Linked DNA regions of Macaca fascicularis. The protein of the gene in region 4 interacts with the protein of the main gene of each other region in a pairwise test. Links are inferred from orthologs where the notes say so. Each region holds a gene or a part of one and is shown on either strand. Other genes may lie near its edges. The genes, in order: PTN, PRPF40A, SPP1 and UBQLN4.

Region 1 (5,187 bases), on a different chromosome or scaffold from region 4:
CACTGGCAACATATAAGGGATCTGGTTTCCCTGCACCCTCACTAGCATTTCGTCTTGTCACTATTTTTTATTCTAGCCACTTTTATAGATGTAGAGTGATCTCTCATTATGGTTTCAATTTCTAGTTCCCTAATAAGGAAAAGATGTTGAATACATTTTCAGGAATTCATTTGTTGCCTATATATCCTCTTTGGTAAAAGGTCTGTTAATGTTTTTTCCCCACTTTCTTACTGAACTGTTAAGTTTTGTTTGTTTTGTTTTGTTGTTTTGTTTTTGTTGCTGTTGTTTTGTTGTTTACTGTTGAATTTGAGAGTTATTTAATATTTTCAATATAAGTCTTTAAGATAGACCGTTTAAACTTTTTGAAAATAGGTTTTTGAGGTACCCAGATACAGTTTAAGACCAAATGTACCTGTTCTCCATCACACTTTTATAGAACTTATCTATCTCCATTCAAATAGAAAATACCCCAAAGATTACAGAGGGAGAAAAAGATGTACGTGTATACATCCATTGTTCTTCCTCACTTGTCTATGGGCCACAGTGCATTTCCACAGAACACAGGTAGGACATTTCAGGAATCATGTCCCCAAAGACAAAAACTCTGGATCGTGGAAGAAAGAGGTTATTTGAGGGTTCAATATTGGATATAAAGTTGAAAGTGTTGACAGATCCTGTCTCAGATAGATAGATCAGGCCAGCATAAGACTGACTCTAGCCAGTGGGAGAAAGATCTATGAAAAGTGACTGTGAGCAGCCCTGCTGGACTCAATAAGTGAATCTGTGAACCTGTGTGGAGGGTGGGGAGGGATCAAATGAGAGAGAAGGCCTGAAAGTGACAGGGAGGGACATGGAGAAGAAGGGGAATAAACAAGAAAAGGGGAAAGGAGAAATCAAAGGAACTTAGAAATAGAAGAAAGGAGAGAGAAGATATATCAACGAACATTATTAGGAGGAATCAAGGATATATTTTATGTCCCTTTGGAAAGGCAGTGGTTCCCAATCAGGGATGATTTTGACCACAAGGAGACATTTGGCCATAGATATTTGGAGACATTTTTAGTTTTCACATCTGGAGTGGGTGAGGAATCCTACTGGAAACTAGTGAGTAGAAGCCGGGGATGCTGCTAAATACCCTAAAATGCACAAGACAACCTCCACAACAAAGAATTGCCTGGCCTGAAATGGGACCAGTGTCAAAGTTGAGAAACACTGGGGTTGGGAAAGATATCTGGTCACTTTGTGTCTGATAAGATAAAGTTATTTAAAATAAAAAGTACTCATCCTTAAAAAGACATTTGGTGGAAAAATTTGAGAATTATCTTAGGGTAGGAGATTAACTCAGTAGCATGAAGCTTACCTCCAAATTGCTTCTTCCAGTTGCAGGGGATCTTACATCTCTGGGTCTTCATGGTTTGCTTGCACTCGGCTCCAGTCCGAGTGCCTTCCCGCGTGCCCAGTCCACAGTCTCCACTGGTGGGCACACACACACTCCACTGCCATTCTCCACAGTCAGACTTTTTCACTTTTTTTTCTGAATGAAAGGAAGAAAACCTAATCAACATACAGAAAACTCCTTAACTTCCAGATATAACCAAGTTCATTCCTGAGAACCTTAATTGTAGGATCTGTGTGTTTTTTTAAATCTCTATCCTTATTGTCCAGTGAATAATAGAAATATGACGAATATTAACCAAAGTATTGAACCAAAGAATGATCAAGAGAAGAGAGAAAGAAAACTGAGAAAAGAGCTAAAACTAGTATTAATTTAACTCCCTCTTACTATGTGCCAGAGACTTTGCTAAGTGACTTAGTGGCATCTCCTTTTAGAAGCAAATATTTCTATAAAAGAAGAGATGATCAAAAATAGTTAAGCCTAAAAATTGAGAAAATATTCTATTAGAAATGACAGTTGTCAGCCGGGCCCAGTGGCTCATGCCTGTAATCCCAGCACTTTGGGAGGTTGAGGCAGGCAGATCACAAGGTCAAGAGATCGAGACCATCCTGGCTAACATAGTGAAACCCCAACTCTACTAAAAATACAAAAATAAGCTGGGCGTGGTGGTGCATGCCTGTAGCCCCAGCTACTTTGGAAGCTGAGGCAAGAGAATTGCGGGAGATGGAGGATACAGTGAGTTGAGATTGCACCACTGCACTCCAGCCTGGTGGCAGAGCAAGACTCCATCTCAAAAAAAAAAAAAAGAAAGAAATAACAGTTGTCAAATGAGCCATTTCAGTGCAAGTTATTGTTCCTTTCTCTGTCTTGTAGAAGGAATGACATCATACATATATGGTGGATCACAGATTTAAACAGACTGTCAGTTCCACAGCCTACTTATGACTTTGAGAGTGGCGTAGAGAAGGTGCTTTAGCTTCTCTGTGCCTCAGTTTCCTCCTCTGTAAATCTGAAATTAAGGAGAAAAACAAGTTGCAGTGCATTTTTTTTTTTTGAGGTAGAGAGGTAACATAATAAAGCACCTGATTGCTGGTCAATGTTCTATACATAGTAGCTGCTAATTTGATCATTATATTAATGACCATCATCGTCATGCAATCCAGGACTTGCAATGGGAGACAGGATATTTCTTAGGTTCCTCTAAATAATTATTTTTAAAAAGGGAAGATTGAAGGAATACAGGAATAGGAAGGGAGAGAGGCAGAGTAGAAGAGATGAAGGAAAAGCAGGTAATTAGGCTAGATGGACATTAATCAATGAAGCATCTTGCCTTCAGAACCCTACTGCTTACCTGGTTTCTCTTTCTTCCCTGCTTCAGCAGTATCCACAGCTGCCAGTATGAAAATGAATGCCAAGAAGGCAGCTGCAAATTTTTGACGCTGCTGCTGGTACTGTTGAGCCTGCATTCTAGGAATAAACAGAGAAAGAGAAGAAGGTGGCATTAACCTAAGTCAGAGAGGAAGACTCATTGAACCCCTTGATGAAAGGCTCCACTTTCCATTTCTGGAATGTTAGATTTCAGGAAGATTCATATCAATTATCTTGGGTAGAATTTCATCTATTCTCACCAACAGCCATTGAAATAAGTGCTCTTCTGCAATCAATCACGTATTCACTGACAAAATGCAACAGTTCTTCACATAAGACTTCACAACCATTTGCTAAGTATGACTCAGAAATTATGGAAGCAAAAGAACTTTGAAGGCATGCATTTGAACACAGTTCTACAGCCTTGCTGATAGCATCACTTGGTAATATCGACAACTATAGCCATCTTCAAAATTTCTGACAATCTTAGAAACAACCACAGCAAAGGCATCACAGTACACAAGACCAATCTGAGTAGACATGATGAATGAATTACCTATACAAATATATGTTTACTGATTCTATTTAGATGCATACAAAACAACCAATATCTCTGACCTTTTTAAAATCATTGTCATAATCATCACTATCATTTTATCACTATTCCATTACTTATTGATCTACCAAAGAGTGAATCCCAGAAGTAGAGCTAGCACACCTGTGACACATATCAAACACACTTATAAACTCACACGTGCTAAAAATCCTCAAATGTTAAGATATGGTAAAGTCTTCACACTCACTCATAATAGGAAATGCTCACATTTGATGTGAATCAGAAATCCCAAGATATCATTGGAAAGACTCTCCTAGAACTTGAAGCCACCTGTGACAGCCTAGTGTCAATATGGTTACTTGGCCAAAACACCCTTGAGAAGGTCTAGTCCAACCTCCAGGACAACCCACTTCCCAATGGCTATACCAAACTATGGCTGCAGCAACTTGCCTGGCAGTTATTGAGCTCCATTTGCTGTGTTAGTGGTGTTTTACACTTTATGTAAAAATGGTAGTAATGACCTATGGTCACAGGCTGATAAATTTTTTTCCAGAAGTAGTAATAGATTAGTTTACGTGTTTTAACATTCTCTTTAGTGTGAACAATAAAACATTTCATGTATATAAGGGATTGAGGTTATTCTGTTCTCTAATTTATTTTTCTCATTCAAAAATATCTATGAGGTGATATCCTTGCCAGTGAATTTTCCTACTTTTCTGTGGCATTGGATATGCTGCCTCTTATTAGTGTTATTTTTATTTATTTATTTATTTATTTATTTATTTATAATTTTACTTTAAGTTCTGGGATACATGTGCAGAACATGCAGGTTTGTTACATAGGTATACATGTGCCATGGTGGTTGGCTGCACCTACTGACCGGTCTTCTAAGTTCCCTCCCCTCACCCCCCACCCCTAAACAGGTCCTGGAATGTGTTGTTCCCCTCCCTGTGTCCGTGTCTTCTCAATATTCAACTCCCAGTTATGAGTGAGAACATGCAGTGTTTGGTTTCCTGTTCCTGTATTAGTTTGCTGTGGACGATGGCTTCCAGCTTCACCCATGTCTCTGCAAAGGACATGATCTCATTCCTTGTTATCGTCACCTAGTATTCCACGGTACATATGTACCAAATTTTCTTTATCCAGTCTATCATTGATGGGCATTTAGGTTGGTTCAATGACTTTGCTATTGTAAATAGTGCTGCAATAAACATACGTGTGCATGTGTCTTTATAGTAAAATAATTTATATTCCTTTGGGTATATACTCAGTAATGGGATGGCTGGATCAAATGGTATTTCTGGTTCTAGATCCTTGAGGAATCACCATACTGTCTTCCACAATGGTTGAACTTAAATTCTGTAATTTCCAGAATTTACAAGGAACTTAAACAAATTTATTTTTAAAAAACATCAAAAAGTGGGCAACGGATATGAACAGATACTTGTCAAAAGAAGAAATTTATGCAGCAAACAAGCATGAAAAAGAGCTCAACATCACTGATCATTAGAGAAATGCAAATCAAAACCACAATGAGATTCCATCTCATGCCAATCAGAATGGCAATTATTAAAAAGTCAAGAAATAATAGATGCTGGCAAGACTGTGGAGAAATAAGAGCACTTTTACACTGTTGGTGGGAATGTAAATTAGTGTTGTTTTTTAAAACTGATGACTTTGAATTCCAGCATATTGATGAAGCATACTTCACTTATCAATTAAAATTAATATTTTGAACCTTTAGTTTTTTCCCTGAATCACAAGCCTAGATTAGCTACTCACCATCTCCAGCACTTTCTACAATATAAGATAAGGTGCTTTGGTCTTCCTCCTGAGGCTAAATTCTTATTATATTAGATTGGTGCAA
Region 2 (5,717 bases), on a different chromosome or scaffold from region 4:
TACAACCGTACGCCTTGCAATAAACTTTCAACCGGCCAGTATTTCAACTTTTATTATTTTCCTCTAATAAAATTATCAGAGGAAGAGTGGACTATGCTTCCTGCAACAGAACTCTGTGCACTACACCTGGACACAAACTTAAAAACTGAAAGGCTAATTATTTTACGTATAAAAGTAGAAATTTGGACTATGCGATAAAAATCTTTGTCCCTCAGGATTCTGTGTAGAGGAATTGGTGGACAGCACATCTTTATTTGTGGATGAAGGCCACTGAACATAGATAGCCTATTTTAATTATATGCACTTTTCACAGTCTCCTTTTAATGGTGGGTGTTTCGCCTTTTGTTTAATCTTGACAGTATTTCATCCCCCGTGTTTAAGGACTTGAAGATATTTCTTCAAGAGTACCCATTTAATCAAAAGATCTTTTTTAAAAATGGGTCTCCTGATCACGGATCAGGACGCTCCACTTACAAAAGGGCTGGAAAGCAAAGTAAGATGCAAATGAGGACTCTGGGTGAAAGCAGCTGCCACCCTGCGGGCTTAGGCAGCACGAAGGGAGAAGGGTGGTGGCAAGAGCCACACCCTGACTCAACTTTACTCTGGACAGACTTTCAAGGCCTCGGCTTCAATACCTTTCACGATCAAGTAGGCGATGGCGAGGAGGAAGGCGAGAAGGATGGCGAAGAGCAGCGAGCAGAGAATAGAAAGGACCTGGACCGGCCACCGCCGAGGCTGGGTTCTGCTGCCCGCGGCCGCGGGAAAGATACCATTGCGCTTATCTGGCAGGACAGGCGACCCGTCCCCGTCCGGCGGGAGCAGCGAGCCCTTTCTGGGCTCTGACCACGCCCCAGCCGAGAACTCCGCCCGCAGGTCGCGGGCCACTTGGTCGCATCCCTCCTCCTCGTCGACTTCGCCTTCACCCCAACTGTCCCCCTGAGTAAAGGAGGAATATGTTGGCCCAGCCACAGGGCCCGGGGTCCCGGGACGGCGGCGCCGCAGAGCCGACCGCCACCCGCTCTCCGCTAACGACATGGCGCGAAGCACAGCGAAACCCGCGGAGTATGAGCCTCTCCCACCTGCCCCGCCCCGGGTCCGCAACAGCCAATCCGCGGCCGTGGCCGCTACCACCATGCCTCAGAACCCAGGGGTAAACCACGGAGAGCAAGGTTGGGCGGCGGGTTGCAAAGGAAGTCGTAGGGCCTGAGGAGAGGTGGGATGCGCTTGGACCAGAGCTCGACCCCAGGGCTGTAGCCGGAAGGGGGAGCAGGAAAGCGCGCAGCGAGAAGTGGGCGGAGGCCGAAGGCGGCCGAGTATCCACTCCCTGCGGCGCTTCATCCCTGCCGGAGACCTCCGCCACTGCCGCGTCACCAACGGGAGCGCGAGACCCGACAGCCCCAAAGCCGCATCTTTTCGACGCCGGGTCCTAGCGCCCGCCCGCGCCTTCGACACATTCACGAACCTATTTGCCTTCTCCCTTCTTCCCCTCTACGCTCACACTCTTCTCCAGGTTCCCCTATTAAGAAAGGGCAGCTCTCTGCCTGGTACTCTCGCGGTGCCTTCACTGCTCACCCCATCTCCCTTTAGTGTGGTTCTCCCCACCCGTACCACAACTTCCCTCACGCTACTCGACACGCCTCCTTCCTCCTCCACCCAGGCGCGCGCTCTCCACCTGGTGCGTACCGAGCTCGCACCCTCTCCTCGGAACCCCTCCTTTCGCCTTCCCCGCCCCCTCCCCTCCGCCTCGAGCACTGCGCGCGCGCATTCGGTCCCAGCCACCGCTAACACTAGAGGCTGCTTACCCCCGCCCCCTCCACCCTACCCCTGGCGGCCTCAGGTTTGTGGGGCGTACGTAACTCGGGCGGGGAGGGGGAAGGTGGCAGACCCCACTGCCCCACCCCCTACGGGGTGAGGCGGTCTAAGCTCGGGAAGCTGGGACACGGTTGTCTTCCCTTCCCCTGGGGAAGTTGGTAGAGTTTTCCCGACGGAGGACTCGGCGCAGAAACTTCCTCCGTCCTCCCCCCGCCCCATGCAGGCGACGCCGAGTGAGGCTGAGGCTGCGGGCGAATCGCCGCAGAGTTGCGTGTCGGCCGCGCATTCTGATTGGACAGCGGGGAAGCCCGTCAGCCTGTTGGCCTCGCTGATCCCGCCCCGTAGCGCAGGGCAGCCTTTAACCTTTAGCCCCAGTGGGCGCCAGCCACTCAGATCGCTTCTTGTTGGTATGTGTAGCGGCAGTGGCCGCCGGCGGAGCAGTCTGAGCCCGACGATGAGGCCGGGGACGGGAGCTGAACGTGGAGGCCTCATGGTGAGTGAAATGGAGAGCCATCCTCCCTCGCAGGGTCCTGGGGACGGGGAGCGGAGATTGTCCGGCTCAAGCCTCTGCTCCGGCTCTTGGGTCTCTGCTGACGGCTTCCTGAGGAGACGGCCCTCGGTAAGGGATCAGTGGGGCAGGGGGAAGGCGGCACAATGAAAAACGGAGTGAGAGAAACAGGAAGCTTTCTCCGAAAGGAGAAGAAGATAAGAGTGGACGAAGGAAGAACTCGAGATGGTGGGATATGTTGTGAGGGAGAGAAGTGGAGGGTGGGGATGCACAAAGAAGGATGTGAGACCCTGGAAGTACCCCGTAGGCTTGGCCTAGACAGATGCGTGGTGAAGGTGCTGGCTCTTGGGCGGGGTGAGCGTCTTGGAGCTTTAGGCCCGATTTAGCTGGAAGGGGGAGGGAGGGGCTTGATTCTGTAAGACTTTAACAGCGGCTGCCAAAATTTGTTTTCATTACTTGTGGGGTCGTCTGCATGGGGAACTGTTAGGACAATTGACAGGAGATAATTAGCTGGTTTTAATTTAAAACATGGAACAATGGACTCATCGGTAAAGAAAGTAGTTGTCTTTTTAAATTGCGTTGAAAGGGATGAATTAGTTGTTTGCATTTAGTGTCCGTGAGTAACAGAACCTCAGTCTTTAAAAATGTATTTTTGACAGAAGGAATTTTACCTGTCTTAAAGGTTATGTTAGGAAATAAGTTTGTTAGGAGTGAATTGTCCCTGGGTGGCACTACTGTTTGTGTTTTATAAGACTGACTTTCACCTGAGTTAATATGATAGAGCATTTTAAAGTTTAAAATCAGTAGTGTTATAAAATAACAATAGCTGGCTATTTTTTATATTTGCATGAAATAGAAGAATTGTTGTTTTCACTGTAACAGTTTTAAGATTAGTATTCAATATGTATCCTTCAAGCTTAGCAAGCCAGTTAGTAGCTGATTAAGTCAATGCTTAAAAAAAAGAGAAAACCTATGATCCAGCTGTCCAGTAATCATCTTAACTTTTCCCGTTTTGTTGCGGAATTTGCAAGCTCGTTTTAAATACTAGCAGAATGCATTTTGTTTAAAACAAGGTATAGATTAATCCAGTGACATTATTATGCATAAGCTTAATATTAGGTTGCTTCAGATAACTGATTTGTTGAAATGAGATTTTTGAGAAGCGTTTAGTATTATTTGCTCATTTAAAAACGTTCGCTGTTTTTCAGATGGGGCACCCTGGCATGCATTATGCCCCAATGGGAATGCACCCTATGGGTCAGAGAGCGAATATGCCTCCTGTACCTCATGGAATGATGCCACAGATGATGCCCCCTATGGGAGGGCCACCAATGGGACAAGTAAGAATGCTTTTATTTTATTTTGCATTTATTTATTTGTTTTTGCCTCAGGTATTCTGTCAAGATTTCAAAATCTAGGTCAATAGTTATAGCTGTTTAAGGATTAGTTTATGCCCGAATAATTTTAAATAAGCCAAATGTTGAATCATGACTGTAATGGAAATTTGAATGTAATGAAAAAGTCTCCTGAGAAATTTACTGATTACCTCAAAACTAAGAATTTTTTTTTTATTATTACTTAAAAGTAAAGTGTGCGTCCAGGCTTTTATTTTTAATAATTATTTTTTCAACCATGCCAATTGAAGTTAATGGTCTAAAAGTAAATATTATCTGATACAGCAACATAACTGATTTTGGTAGACCATGTAAATAAATAGAATCTGAAAATAGCAATTGTTTTGGTTTAGAGCGAATTTTATTCCTGAAATATCTTCCTCTGTGTGTGTTGGAGGAGAGTGAGGGAGGGTGGGGGGTTTGTGCTCTATAATTCTGATTCTTCATAGGACAGTGCCAGTAGGTACTTCATTTTCCACTTACACTATTTTTTTTTAATGCTTATTGCTTCTACACTCCTGCTTATGAGCTGTCCCTTCCATCTCTAGCATAAATTGTAAATGGACATTTTGTAGAAGTGATTTGGATCAAAAGGTTTTAATGCTGATTCAGTGATTTCGGTAGAACTGAGTTTCTAGAGAAGCATCTAAGAAAGGTAACAGGTTCAGTTACCATGAGTAATTTTGTGCTCCATGTTAAGTTCTATATAGATCTTTAGGTGGCTGGGTTATTTCCATTTGAGTATTTCCATAAATCATCAAAAATTTAGGCTAACAAAATATTTTGGAAGCCAATTTCATGTGATCTTTTGCTAATTAGTACTGTTTGATAATTGTTTAAGCTTTCATGGTTAAAGTTATTGGTGAAATTGCAGTGGGAAAAGGAGCTTGCTATGTGTCTGTCTCTTTTTACTTAACCTTAAGAGTAGAAGGGCTTAATGTCAAGTGATTTTCCTCTTTTTTTTTTAATTTGGAATGTTGCCCTTAATTTTGTTTAAAAAAAAAAAAAAAAACCTTTATTCAAAGACACCAGCCCCAAAAGATTCTGCTTGCAGGAGTTCTTTAAATAAAAGAGCCTTTTATTCTGTGACTTTAGAATAACACAAATTTTAAAACTCTCTAGGTGATGGAGAAACAACTTTGATTCCTCTTCTGTTTCTTTCCATCTCTAAGCAGCAAGGAGCTCTTCTTGTTTTCTTGGTAGAGCTGCTCTAACTAGATAATGAGCTTTAAAAATATTTATTCTTTAAATGCTCTGGTTCTTATTTAAAATTAGTTTCTTTCCACAGAAAGATAAAATAAAACAATTTGCTACTGCCAGATGCTTCTCTCTTTTCTGGGGCCTTCTGTTTCCATTGGGCCAATCAAGGTAAGTTTTGCAAGGGATTGACCTGCTTACCCTTGCTGTAATGGTGCTATTGCACTACCAAAACCAAGATACCAGCTAGTCATATTTCTAGTAAAAAAAAAAAAAAAAAAAATGCAGATTTTATTTTTTAAAAGTACTTTCATGTATCTCATTGACATAAGCTGGTCACAGTTTGCTTTATGGCCCTTTCTCTGTAGCTATATCAGTGACCATCTTTCTAGTAAGTTTACTTGGTATACATCCATTCAAATAACTGATTTTTTTTGTGTTGTTTCCTTCTACTTTTTCCTAGGCTAATAATACGCCATGTGCCTTTAAGTAGACCTAATTATTTAGATGTTTAGAATTCTTCTCCCTCTGAAGGCTCCTGTTAGTATAATAAATAAATGTTTTAGTAGGAGTTATGCTCTGAAAGTCCCAAAAGAATCTCCACTGTTTTTGTAAGATTTATATAATTCCCTTTTGCTAACAAATATGGGGCCCAAATCTTGGGGAAAAAAAAATTCTTACTTTAGCTTTAAAACGGACTGGGAGAGCATGGATAATTTGAATTCTCAAATCGGAAATCTTACTTGAAACTCTGTAAACATTGCTTTAAAAATTAAAGGTGATAATAAATAGCACAATTGGTCTTT
Region 3 (5,669 bases), on a different chromosome or scaffold from region 4:
CTGTTGATCTTCACTGTGTCCAGTCCATGGAACAAGAAGGAACTCTCTAAGGCTGTGCTGTCTAATACAGTATACTCTAACCACATGGGGCTATTTACATTTAAGTTAATTAAAATGAAATGGCCGGGCACAGTGGCTCACGCCTGAAATCTTGGGAGGCTGAGGCAGGCAGATAATGAGGTCAGGAGATCGAGACCATCCTGGCTAACACAGTGAAACCCCCTTTCTACTAAAAATACCAAAAAAAAAAAAAAAAAAAAAAAATTAGCCGGGCATGGTGGCCGGCACCTGTAGTCTCAGCTACTCGGGAGGCTGAGGCAGGAGAATGGCGTAAACCCAGGTGGCAGATCTTGCAGTGAGCCGAGATCGTGCCACTGCACTCCAGCCTGGGCGACAGAGCGAGACTCCATCTCAAAAGAAAAAAAAACGAAGAAATAAGATAAAAATTCAGTTCCTCAGTTGCACTAGGCTACATTTTGAGTACTCCATAGCCATATGTATCTGGCAGCTATCTTACCAGACAATGCAGAAATATAATATTAAAATCATTGCACAAAAGTTCTATAGCTCTAAGGTGCCAAAGATGTAAATGAAATGGATTTTTCTTTAGCCAAGTTATTTATCTGGAAAATACTGATAATATGCTACTGCAGAGGAGTGGAAATTGCTCTGTGTAAGTGTCATCTGATCTGCTGAATCATTCAGGGCCAATCATTACATGTCCCTGTCATTCAGAATAACTCTGGGGGTTGTACAGAGTCCCTTCTGCAGCCACCTAAGGGGTAGATGGGTAGAGAGAAAACCAGTCAGAAGTACTAGAGTTTCTCTCATGGCTGGCTCTAACCAGAGGGGCTTCATACTGGGCTTCTCTGAAAGGTTTTGCTGAAAGAAGGGGTTCCTTGCTTTAAGAAGATGCAAAAACAGCTGGGCGCGGTGGCTCACGCCTGTAATCCCAGCACTTTGGGAGGCTGAGGCCGGCGGATCACAAGGTCAGGAGATCGAGACCATCCTGGCTAACAAGGTGAAACCCCGTCTCTACTAAAAATATAAAAAATTAGCTGGACGTGGTGGCGGGCACCTGTAGTCCCGGCTACTCGGGAGGCTGAGGCAGGAGAATGGCGTGAACCCAGGAGGTGGAGTTTATAGTGAGCTGAGATTGCGCCACTGCACTCCAGCCTGGGCGACAGAGTGACAGAGCGAGACTCTGTCCCAGAAAAAAAAAAGAAGATGCAGAAACAATGGGACTAGATGCGTTCAGAGTTTTTCTCTTCACTTTTTCATATCTATCTATCTATTCTCATGACACATGTAATACAGGCTTGGAGAGAATGGATTTATAAATTAAATTTATAATTTTTAAAACCTAATGTGAAAAAAATAAAGGTAAGCAAAATGAATAGACTAAAAACCACCCAGTAATCCTAACACTCACAGATAACCAGTGTGTATTTTCAGGCATATATCCTTAGAGACTTCCCCAATTTTTTACTAGCTTTAAGTTTCTGGGATTCTAGAAGGCTGGGCCTTGAGCCTTCTAGATTTCTTAAATTGTTATGACTCCACGTGCCTTCTAAAATGCATCTTTGCCATGTTTTCATTTATTAAAAAGGCACTAATTCTTGCCTGAAATAGTATGACCTCTATCTTCTCTGGAGATGTTAATTTTTCTGCTTTATTATTAGGAGTCAACATCTGTGTTTTCAAATCAGTTGGAAAACAGACACACACACCCCCACACACAAACACACACAGAATACTTCTTTTAATGTCTTCATTAAGAAATCTAATTGCAGTGACCCCCAAGGCAACTCTTATTTTGGCCTTTATTCTGTTCAACTGGAATTGAACTCTGTGTGCCTTTTTGTCCAAGCTGCTGGGGACAATGCCCATTTGTTGTTTGGTTGGCACGGTTTCATCTGTTGTGGAGGGGTAGGTACATCTTTAGTGCTGGTCAAATAATTATAATAAAGAGTTTGGTTGGTCTTATGTTTGGTTGGAAAATGTGATCTAACATCAGCTGACAATCACAATAGATACAAACAGCACACATAGACTTTCTTTTCACAATGGGCTTCTCAGCTAATATCTCAGACGATATTGTGAATATTATGGTCATACAAACAGTTCTGACTAATATCTGATGTGAATTTTAAACTTAGCAATCCACTAAATAAAGCAAAAGCTGGAATTTTCTGCTTTTAGATCAATATGTGGACTAATGGAAAAAAAGTCACACAGCTTCGTATAACTCTATCTTACATGCTATACTGGCCTAGACATTATTATATTTAAAATATCTGGGTTGGTTTTACAAACTTATATTTATTAAAAACTATACTGTGCTTGGTACTGGCCTAGATTCATAGCAGGCAGTCAATAAATACTTGTAAACCAATAGATTTGACTGAGAAGATAAGTAATCTTGCAGCAAATATGTTTGTTGCGCCTCTCGCTGTAATTGAGTAAATGATTTCACTATGTAATAAACCTAAAAGATGCTTACCTGCTTTTCCTCAGAACTTCCAGAATCAGCCTGTTTAACCTTTGAAACAGAAAAGATGAAGAAAGATTACAAGAATGTCCTCCTAGCACATAGAAGCACATAATTCAGTTATTTTCAGGAATTTTCTTTAAGATTCAGTTGTACTCACTGGCAGGGCATAGGCGATGCCTAAGAGGCAAAAGGAAATCACTGCAATTCTCATGGTAGTGAGTTTTCCTGCAAAACATTTCATAAGGAATAGCTGACATCCTCATAGGTTAAAACAATGGTACCTTTTTGTACTACCACATTACAAAATAATCACAAATAAAATATATTTTCTGTAAAATCTTTTCTACTTCTTAGAGAAGCCTTTTCTTTTTAGTATTATGGTCTTTCAAGTTAATATTTATATTGCCACCTATTCTCCATCTTTATTAGGTAAGGGAAAGGGAAATTTTACAAGTCTGTATTTATTCAACTTTTAAATTTAGAGTTCCAGAAATTGTACGATTACTACCTTATATATCTAGCTCTACTAAACCTACAAACAGATCAACAGTAACTTAATTCTATTAATAAGCTAGTATGGGAATGCTTTTTAGAGAAGAAAAAGCACAGATAAAAAAATGAAAAAAATTTGCTTTATTCGTTTTTCCAATATGTACTTTAAATGTGATTTTTAGCTTAAATTATTAAGTAGATGCTACTTAGGTGAAATGAAACTATCTCTGAAATTTGTTATTTAAGTAAGATGTTCTAAAAATTTGAAATGCAAAGGAAAACATTGAAAATAGCCAACAACTTTTCTATTTGTAATAATAAGCCTACATAGTGTCATGCAGGTATCTTGGTGAATATTTTAACAGCTAAATTTAGCAGTAACATATTCAGAAAGAGTTTTCTTCCCCTTGAAAATAAGATACATCATTTAAAAAATAGCATTGTAATTGGCTTAATTAGTGTAAAAGATCCCTTTTCTTTTACATTCCTGCAGTCACCCGTTGAAAATGATATAGGTATAATTATTCCAAAGGGGAATTGAATTTTACTATTTTCTGATTAGCCGCAGTAGTTTCCGTTCTTTTGAGGACCCAGTGGAAGTATTTTTAAGTTTTATATTTGATTGGCATTCCAAATATCTAGACACCTTTGTTCCAGGAGACCTGCAATGTATCTAATCTGCTTATTAAAAAGGCTAGAAAATTTAAATCTGTTTAACAGCATTACAATTAAAAATATTTTTCCTTAGAACTTGAACTTCCCCATGAAATTGAGCTGAATGCACAACCCAGTAGCAAACTGAAGGCATACCTTGGCCGGCGTTTGGCTGAGAAGGCTGCAACTGGCCTGACAGGAGTCCGGTCTCAGACGATGCTGTGCTCTCTGCCTCCTCCTCCCGCTGCTGACAGCCAAGCCCTCCCAGAATTTAAATGCTGCTGCAGACATCCTCCACCAACACAGGGAGGCGGAGAGATGTGTCATGAGGTTTTCTGCCACTGCCCAGCCCACCTGCTCCCACACTTCCCCCTCTGGTTTTGTGGTTAAAACAAAAAAACAAAAACGCACACACACACATCTACAGTTAAAACATTACTTATGTACAGTATCATTAACTAGCTTTTTCATTTACAGGATGGGCATTCAGCATCCAGGAAGAGCACTTAGGGATCCCATGGAAAAGGGAGAAAGTAGGGAAAAACATTAATGTAAGATTAAATAGAAAGGAGTTTTGTTTCTTTCAGTTTAAGTAACATAAAAGTAATATCTGCAACCACTCTTGCCTATATGATTATACTTATTGAAGAACTATATTTCTAGAAGGCTATTGTTCAAGCCTGCAAAGAGTTCAGAAAACCTGCCTCTGTCCTTTACTACTCAAGCTTAGCTTTGTGATTTCAAGTATGCAGTGGCTTGTTACTTAGACAAAAGACACTAGTGACATTAAAATATAAAATTCTATATAAAAGAGAAGAATGGTATCTTATTCTAGATGTTGCAGAAGTAAAGCAGTTTCTGACTGAGAGCAGGATGACTGCCTGAGAGGGCCGCTTCAGGAGCCAGACTGTGGCTCTGAATTCCGCTGTGTCACTGCTGACCTGTGCAACCTTGGGCAAATCGCCCAGCCTACCTATCCTTGTTTCCTCATCCATAAAATGCAGATACTATTACCTAGGTCATGGGATTTTTGAGAGGTTTAAATGAATTAGTATGTTAAACTAACAATGCTTAGCACATATTAGATACAAATGCCCTGCGTATCTTAAGGAGTGTATGTGTGTTAACTAGTATGAAATTTTTAAGAGGGGCAGGCAGTCACGAATTGTAATGTCTTTAAAAAGAATAGGTTATTAAAATGAGAGTAGATGTAAGATCTTTAAATGGTATGCATCAATAAGGAAATTTTGCGCATTTCTAAAGGAACAGATTCGATTTTGGAATCATCTTTTTTTCTAGTTTTTCTCCCAGGGTATGTAAATTAGGCTACTTAAAAAGAAAAAGATTTTTAAAAATTTCTGGATTAAAAAACACTTTACTAGGTATTTAAAACGTATTTGAATAAAAGAAAATTACAGGGGAAGTCTGAATATTCAGGGATAGCAGAGCTCTGGGTCCTTTTAAAATATTTAACATTGTCTTGAGATTACTTCATCTGCTTTCTCAGTTGTGAAATGCAGATTGCACTATTTATTTACCTTACACCTTTATTGTAAGACTTGTGTGTGATTAAGATGAAAAATAAATGGTCCTATTTATTATTAGGTTGCTGCAAAAGTAATTGTGGTTTTTATTAGTTCTAAAGTGTCAGCTTCTTTTTGCCAAATATTACTTTTAACATAAATATAGATTAAATAATTTCTTGCAGTGTTAGTATATAGCTAATAAGTAGGTTTCATGAACATTTGGTAGGGGGAAATATGTCTCCCTTAAATTGGATGTATTCCAGATGAATTGATATTATTGGCTTGTAGGTAATAAGCACCCATTTTAATAAGTAAGATGACAACTATCTCTATAAAATAGAAAGCACACAGATTATAAAGTTGCAAAATAGACTTCTTTTTTCTGCTTTTAAAAACTATTTTTTTCCTTTAAACATATTACCCACATAAGCTTGTCATGTTGTCAATTTAGTGGAGGGAAGTCCGAAAATTCTAAAAACAACAAAATTTCCACAGGATTTACT
Region 4 (5,793 bases):
CAAACAACCTACTATCTTTCACTCCCAGGCCTTTATATTTGCTGTCCCTTGGCCCTGAATGCTCTTCTCTTTTTTCCCCCGGTTCGTCTTCCTCCTTTGGGTCTCAGCTTGGTGACATCTCTTAAGGCCTCCTCTAAGCCTCAGGGTAGGGCCAGGAGCTCTTCTCTATGCCCCTAGAGGATTCCCTGATTATCCTTATGATAGCACTGACCACATTGTATTCTAATTGCTGGTTTACTTGTCCCACTTCCCTTTGACACCTGGAATTCCTGAAGAGCTAGGCCTGTCTTTTCATCCCTGTACCTCCAGTGTTCAAAACTGCTGAATACATGAATGAACAAATCAATGTATGGAAAGGCTGGGCAGGGCATGGCTGGGCACCAGCGTCCTCCAGCTCTCTAGCCCTCTCATACTCACCTGCCTCATGAGTTCAGGGTTGTTGAGCATGTGGCTGATCTCAGGGTTCCGCTCCATCAGCTGCTGCATCTGGGGGTTGGCCATGATCATGTGACGCATCAGGTCAGGGTTAGACATCATATCCTGGACCAGGGGGTTCTCCATGATCTGCGACAGCATCTCAGGATTGGACATCAGCTGCCTCTGCATCTGCTGCTGCAGCTCCATGAAGTTGGCAGAGCCCAGGCCCAGGCTGCCCAGCCCCAGGATGCCCCCAAAGCCAGCTGTGGGAGGGGGGCAGGGTCACAGTCTGCCACAAGATCCCTGTCCTCACTTAGCCAGAGCCACTGAATTTGGATCTCCAGGACAGGCCCCAAATGCTTCTCACATGTTCCTCTTCCAATCATTCCCACAGCCCAGCCCTGATCCACTGCTGGCAAAAAAATGTGAGCCTACTAGACTGAGGCCTCTCTGAAGGCTGAGGCTGCACCAAACATAGAACTGAGCAGAGAGAAGGCAACCAGCAATGGTCTGTTGAATGAGTGGCCCATCTGGCTACTGCTGGATCTAACTTTTCCCCAGACTCACAGTCTTCCATTCTCTACCTAGGGTTCCCCACATCCCCAACCCCATTTCTGCCCTCACTCCTAACCCTTAGCCATGATCCCCACCTCTGAGAACTCCTCAGACTAGTTTCTTCCCCAACTTGAATCAAGTATCAATGTCTGGAACTCTACGTCATGAGGTCCCCTATCCCACCAGACCAGGATCAGGAACTCCTGTTTCTTCCTCCTCTTGGCTTTCCCCAACTCTCCAACCCCAAACAAGAGTGTGCTCTCCTCTCTGAGGGCTTACAGAGTATGGATGCAGTAGCACTGGGGGGTCCCTCCCCAGCCCCTGGAGAGGGCCCCCCACCACTGCTCCTCCGGCTTCCACTGCCAGCATCTGAAGAGGCACTGCCAGAGGTGGAGGGCTGGGCAGGGGTGGCGGGTGAAGCAGGCGTGGTGGAGGGTGCTGAGGCAGGGTCAGGTGTGGAGGGGGAAGAAGCAGTGGCAGCAGCTGGATCTTGAGCCCTGAGGACAGAGAAAGGAGAATCCTGTTGGAGTGAGCACTAGAAGAGGGAAGGTACCTCGACAATCTCTGTGCTTGCCGTGGGACTACTATTTTAACTCAAGCCCCCTCCTAGCAGCCCTGAGGCTGGAGTGGGGTGATGGCTGGAGGGCAGTCAGTAAACCAGCAGAGGGAGAAAGGAGCTAGTATTATCTGTCTTCAGGGCATTCTGGGAGTGGTAAATCAGGTTCCCTTCCCCTAGAGAGGAGATCATATTCATCCAGGAGCTACCTGCCTGGGCCTCAGCTTAGGCCCTCTGGGTACGGTCTAGCAATGAGTGAGAAAGTATTAAATGGGGAGGCCCAATCAGAAGCTGGATCTGCTCTGCTCCTGAACTTACTTCTGAGGGGTCTTGATGACCAGATGGACAGTGAGCCCGTCCTTGATTCCGTGCTGGTTCAGTGTGTCCCCATCCTTGAGGATCTTGCCTGCGAAGATCAGGACCAGCTGATCCTGCTGAGCCTTAAACCTCCGGGAGATTTCCTCTTTGAACTGTGATCAAGAGGCAGAGGTCACTGTGGAGGCTGCCTGGACTCCCCCTACCAGGGACCCTGACTCTTCTTCAACAGCTTCTGTACTCTCTTGCTCTCATCTCTAGTCATGGGAAGTCCTTTCTGTAGTCTCGATGCCATTCCTCCAGCTGCAATAAGCATCTCCTTTCTTAACAAAGGAGATGAACCAGTGAGAGGCTCTTCTCTTAGCTCCATCCCAGAGTCTCCCACCTGAGAAAGCTCTTGCTGCCATCTGCCTCCCAGCTTCAGTCCCTCCAACTAGTTCTCTGTGAGGCAGGGCAGCCTCCCCCCACCCCAACTCCTTCAACAGCCTTGGACTTTCAGCCTTCTGAGACCCAATTTTCTCTCCTCTCTATTCCCAGCATTCTCGTAACAACTACAACAAATAGATGTCAGTTGTTGAGCACTATCTATTCACGAGTTAAAGATATAGTATAGTAATTATCATCTTCATTTTATTTTATTATTACTTTTATCTTGAGATGGAGTCTGGCTCTGTAGCCCAGGCTGGAGTGCAGTGGCGCAATCTCGGCTCACTGCAACCTCTGTCTCCTGGGTTCAAGTGATTCTCCTGCTTCAGCCTCCCGAGTGTCTGGGACTACAGGCACACACCACCATGCCTGGCTAATTGTATTTCTAGTAGGGATGGGGTTTCACCATGTTAGTCAGGCTGGTCTTGAACTCCTGACCTCAGGGGATCCACCCAACTACAACTCTTCAAAGTGCTGGGATTACAGGCGTGAGCCACCACGCCCAGCCTTATCTCCATTTTAAAGATGAGAAAACTGAGGATCAGTGAGGTAAGGTAACTTGCCACAGGCAGACCAGAACTCAGGTCTTGACACCGAAGTCCAGGCTCTTAACTAAACATACAGTCTCTCAATGATAGCCATTTTCAAATTCAGCTTTGCAGGGAACAGTACAGTATTTAAATTCTGAAATTTAGTAATTCTATGTGGTTAGGGAGGGAGCAAGGATGGAGTTAGACTTCCCAAATTCTACCAGCCCTTCCAAAACACAACACAAAACAAAACACAACACACACTTTAAGTAGAAACAGTGCACTTGTTAAGCAGAGGCAGCTTCCAGATCCCTCTCTTCCAACCAGATGGCCTATCTTAAGCCCCGCCTATGTGAAATTATGGAGCGGCCACAGTGGGTGGCAAGCACAGGCAACAGTCCCTCATTCAACAAGATTTTATTGAGCACCTACTGCACACCGTGTAAATCTCAGAAGAGCTGAGAACCAAATGTAACCACGTCGATTTCAAAGAGTGGGAAGGATCTGGGCACAGGGAAATCCTCCCCCGACAGCCCCGTCGCTCAGAGAACACTGGGCGTTCTCTGAGGTACAGAGTAGGCGCCGGCGCTCTCCGCCTGCCCCCGGCCCGTTCTCTCGGTTAGCACCTTCCCTGGGCCCCCACTCCGGCACACTCCCCTCAAACCCAGGGTCCTTCCCCCTTCCTGGTGCAAGGTGTCCCCTCCTCACTCTCCACCACGCCCCCAGCCCAGGCCACAAGGCAAAACCCGCCCCCCAACACGCGCCACGCTCCCCAATATCTCCCCTCGCAGGGCGCCCCCTACCCGACTCTCCTTCCCTTCAGCTCCTCGGAGTCCCAGCTGGCCCCCGCTCTCCTCTCCGGGGCCCTCCAGGACGCCAGACCGTCAGGGAGGCCCCCATCTCTTCGCAGACCCCTCCTCCGCGCTCCCCCCGCCTCCCGCCTGCTGTACTACCTCCTTGACCGAGGCTCGATCGCAGATCACAATTTCCTCCTTGTCCTTAGGGGTCTTGACGGTGACCCGAATAGGGGGCCTCGTCTCGGCCCCGCTCGGCTCCGCCATGCCGCCGCCGCCACCCGGCCGCCCGCCAGCCCGCCCGGCTCCTCCTCCTCCCCGCCCGCCCGGCCGGCCCGGCTCGGCTCCTGCGCCTCCAACACTCCCCTCTCTCCACCTCTCCCCTCCCCTCCCCTCCCCTCCTCTCCCCTCCCCTCCCAGAGGCTTCACCGCCCCCTCCAGACCAGCCGCAGCCACAGCGCCCCGGGCGGACCGGGGGGGCCACTGCAGCGGGGTCCGCCCAGGGCCAAGCCCCAGGTCCGGAATCCGGCCAGGGTCTCGCCAAGCTGGGGCTCCTGGGGAGGCTCTGGGCGGGGGAAGGGACGTGCCCTTCACTGCGGGGGCGAGGGCGAACTCCCCGGGAGACCGCGGCCCAACGCTGCTCGCCCGAGCCGTGCCGCCGTCCCCTCCGGCCCAAAGCCTCCCCGCCCCCTCCGCGGCTAACTCTGCTCCGGGACAAAGGACTTTGTGTGTCGCCGCTTTATCTCCGTTCCCTGTGATAACTTGGTCTTTCTTGGAAGCCCCAAGTCCCTTCCAGGCCAGGGGCCTTTCCCGACTTGGAGGTTGGGTTTTCCCACCAAGCACGTCCACTTAGGATCTCAGCTCTAGGACTGACCCTATAGCCCCGAGGGTCGCGGCCTAAATGGTCTGTTGCGAACGGTTCCAGGGAGCTGGGTTTTGGCTGCGTGGCCTTTCAGAGCCTTGATTTCCTCAAGATAATAATAGTACCTCTCGCCTCATCGCACAGAATTGTGCATAACGGAGAAAACTGTTTTGAAAGTAACCAAAGGCGTGCCTGACAAATATGAGGATGTAGTATAATTATTGAATCGTGGACTGCCAAGCGGACACGTTGATTCCTTTCTCCCCGAAGGGGTTAAATGTCCTTCCAGCGCTGCAGCTGTCCTTTCACTCCCGCTCTTTTCCGCCCCCACAACCGCGTGGTCCGCCTGGAAAGGCGAACTATAGTTCCCATGGTGCCTCGCGAGGTCACGAGGAACTACGATTCCCAGAGACCCCCGCGGCGGGGCGGTGTTGAGTCGGAACCACAATAGCCAGGCGAGGAAACTACAACTCCCAGGGCATCCCGGAGCAGGCCAACGGGACTACGGGAAGCAGCGGGCAGCGGCCCGCGGGAGGCATCTCGGAGGATCTGGGTGCAAAAACCCAGGGTTAGGAGCGGTAGGCATGCTGCGCCCCAAGGCTTTGACCCAGGTGCTAAGCCAAGCCAACACTGGAGGCGTCCAGAGCACCCTGTGAGTGCGGACCACGGACCCCAGCGGCGCGCGCTGCAGTGGAGCGGCGTGCGACTCCCTGAGGGAGGGGTGGGGAAGGATCGCCCGGAAGGGAGGAGGCGTCAGAGGGGGCAGTGGCTGGGGGTACCGGCCGGGAGGTCACCTCTCGAAAAGGGAGGCCGGTGTGCTGGGTGCTTAGGGCACGTTCCGGGACACACTCAGCCGAGAGCCTTGCTGGATGTGCCCGTGGCGGGACTTGAGATGGAAACCCAGACGTTTTACTCCCCGCGCTGAGCACATCGTTATCCCTCCCCGCCCCTCACCAGGCTGCTGAATAACGAGGGATCACTGCTGGCCTACTCTGGTTACGGGGACACTGACGCCCGGGTCACCGCTGCCATAGCCAGTAACATCTGGGCCGCCTACGACCGGAACGGGAACCAAGCATTTAATGAAGACAATCTCAAATTCATCCTCATGGACTGCATGGTATGGAGAGGGGAGCCAGACTTCCCCTGTCCCCCAAGGGGATCCCAAGGGGGCGACCTGGACCCCATCCTGGATGGTTGGAGGGGCAGGGACAGGATCTCCGGAAGATTACTAAGAGTTGGTCTGCAGCAGCATTTGTAATAGGCAGGACCCTATTCATCAAGTGGTGGTGAGGAAGGAGCCCTGGACCTGAGAGGTCTGACTTGGGTTCTGGTCTC

Evidence for each region.
Region 1: the proteins of UBQLN4 (region 4) and PTN interact in a two-hybrid assay, tested with the Homo sapiens proteins (2 studies listed by BioGRID and IntAct). The link is inferred for Macaca fascicularis from reciprocal best matches to the Homo sapiens genes UBQLN4 and PTN.
Region 2: the proteins of UBQLN4 (region 4) and PRPF40A interact in a two-hybrid assay, tested with the Homo sapiens proteins (2 studies listed by BioGRID and IntAct). The link is inferred for Macaca fascicularis from reciprocal best matches to the Homo sapiens genes UBQLN4 and PRPF40A.
Region 3: the proteins of UBQLN4 (region 4) and SPP1 interact in a two-hybrid assay, tested with the Homo sapiens proteins (2 studies listed by BioGRID and IntAct). The link is inferred for Macaca fascicularis from reciprocal best matches to the Homo sapiens genes UBQLN4 and SPP1.

What each region holds. Positions count from the first base shown.
Region 1 is NC_088377.1:178,926,676-178,931,862, forward strand, and holds part of PTN (pleiotrophin), read right to left. Parts: intron 2,864-5,187; coding exon 2,748-2,863; intron 1,535-2,747; coding exon 1,361-1,534; intron 1-1,360.
Region 2 is NC_088386.1:48,222,622-48,228,338, reverse strand, and holds the start of PRPF40A (pre-mRNA-processing factor 40 homolog A), read left to right. Parts: upstream 1-1,846; 5' UTR 1,847-2,029; coding exon 2,030-2,305; coding exon of another isoform or gene 2,306-2,431; intron 2,432-3,528; coding exon 3,529-3,660; intron 3,661-5,002; exon of another isoform or gene 5,003-5,034; coding exon of another isoform or gene 5,035-5,082; intron 5,083-5,717. Other genes in the region: ARL6IP6 (ADP-ribosylation factor-like protein 6-interacting protein 6), read right to left, coding at 636-1,035.
Region 3 is NC_088379.1:93,530,005-93,535,673, reverse strand, and holds the start of SPP1 (osteopontin), read right to left. Parts: upstream 3,887-5,669; 5' UTR 3,797-3,886; intron 2,720-3,796; 5' UTR 2,706-2,719; coding exon 2,652-2,705; intron 2,543-2,651; coding exon 2,504-2,542; intron 1-2,503. UniProt on the Homo sapiens protein: Major non-collagenous bone protein that binds tightly to hydroxyapatite. Appears to form an integral part of the mineralized matrix. Probably important to cell-matrix interaction.
Region 4 is NC_088375.1:105,029,312-105,035,104, reverse strand, and holds the start of UBQLN4 (ubiquilin-4), read right to left. Parts: upstream 3,975-5,793; 5' UTR 3,861-3,974; coding exon 3,753-3,860; intron 2,167-3,752; exon of another isoform or gene 1,999-2,166; coding exon 1,847-1,998; intron 1,470-1,846; coding exon 1,252-1,469; intron 681-1,251; coding exon 418-680; intron 1-417. Other genes in the region: ragulator complex protein LAMTOR2, read left to right, coding at 5,040-5,107, 5,413-5,575. UniProt on the Homo sapiens protein: Regulator of protein degradation that mediates the proteasomal targeting of misfolded, mislocalized or accumulated proteins.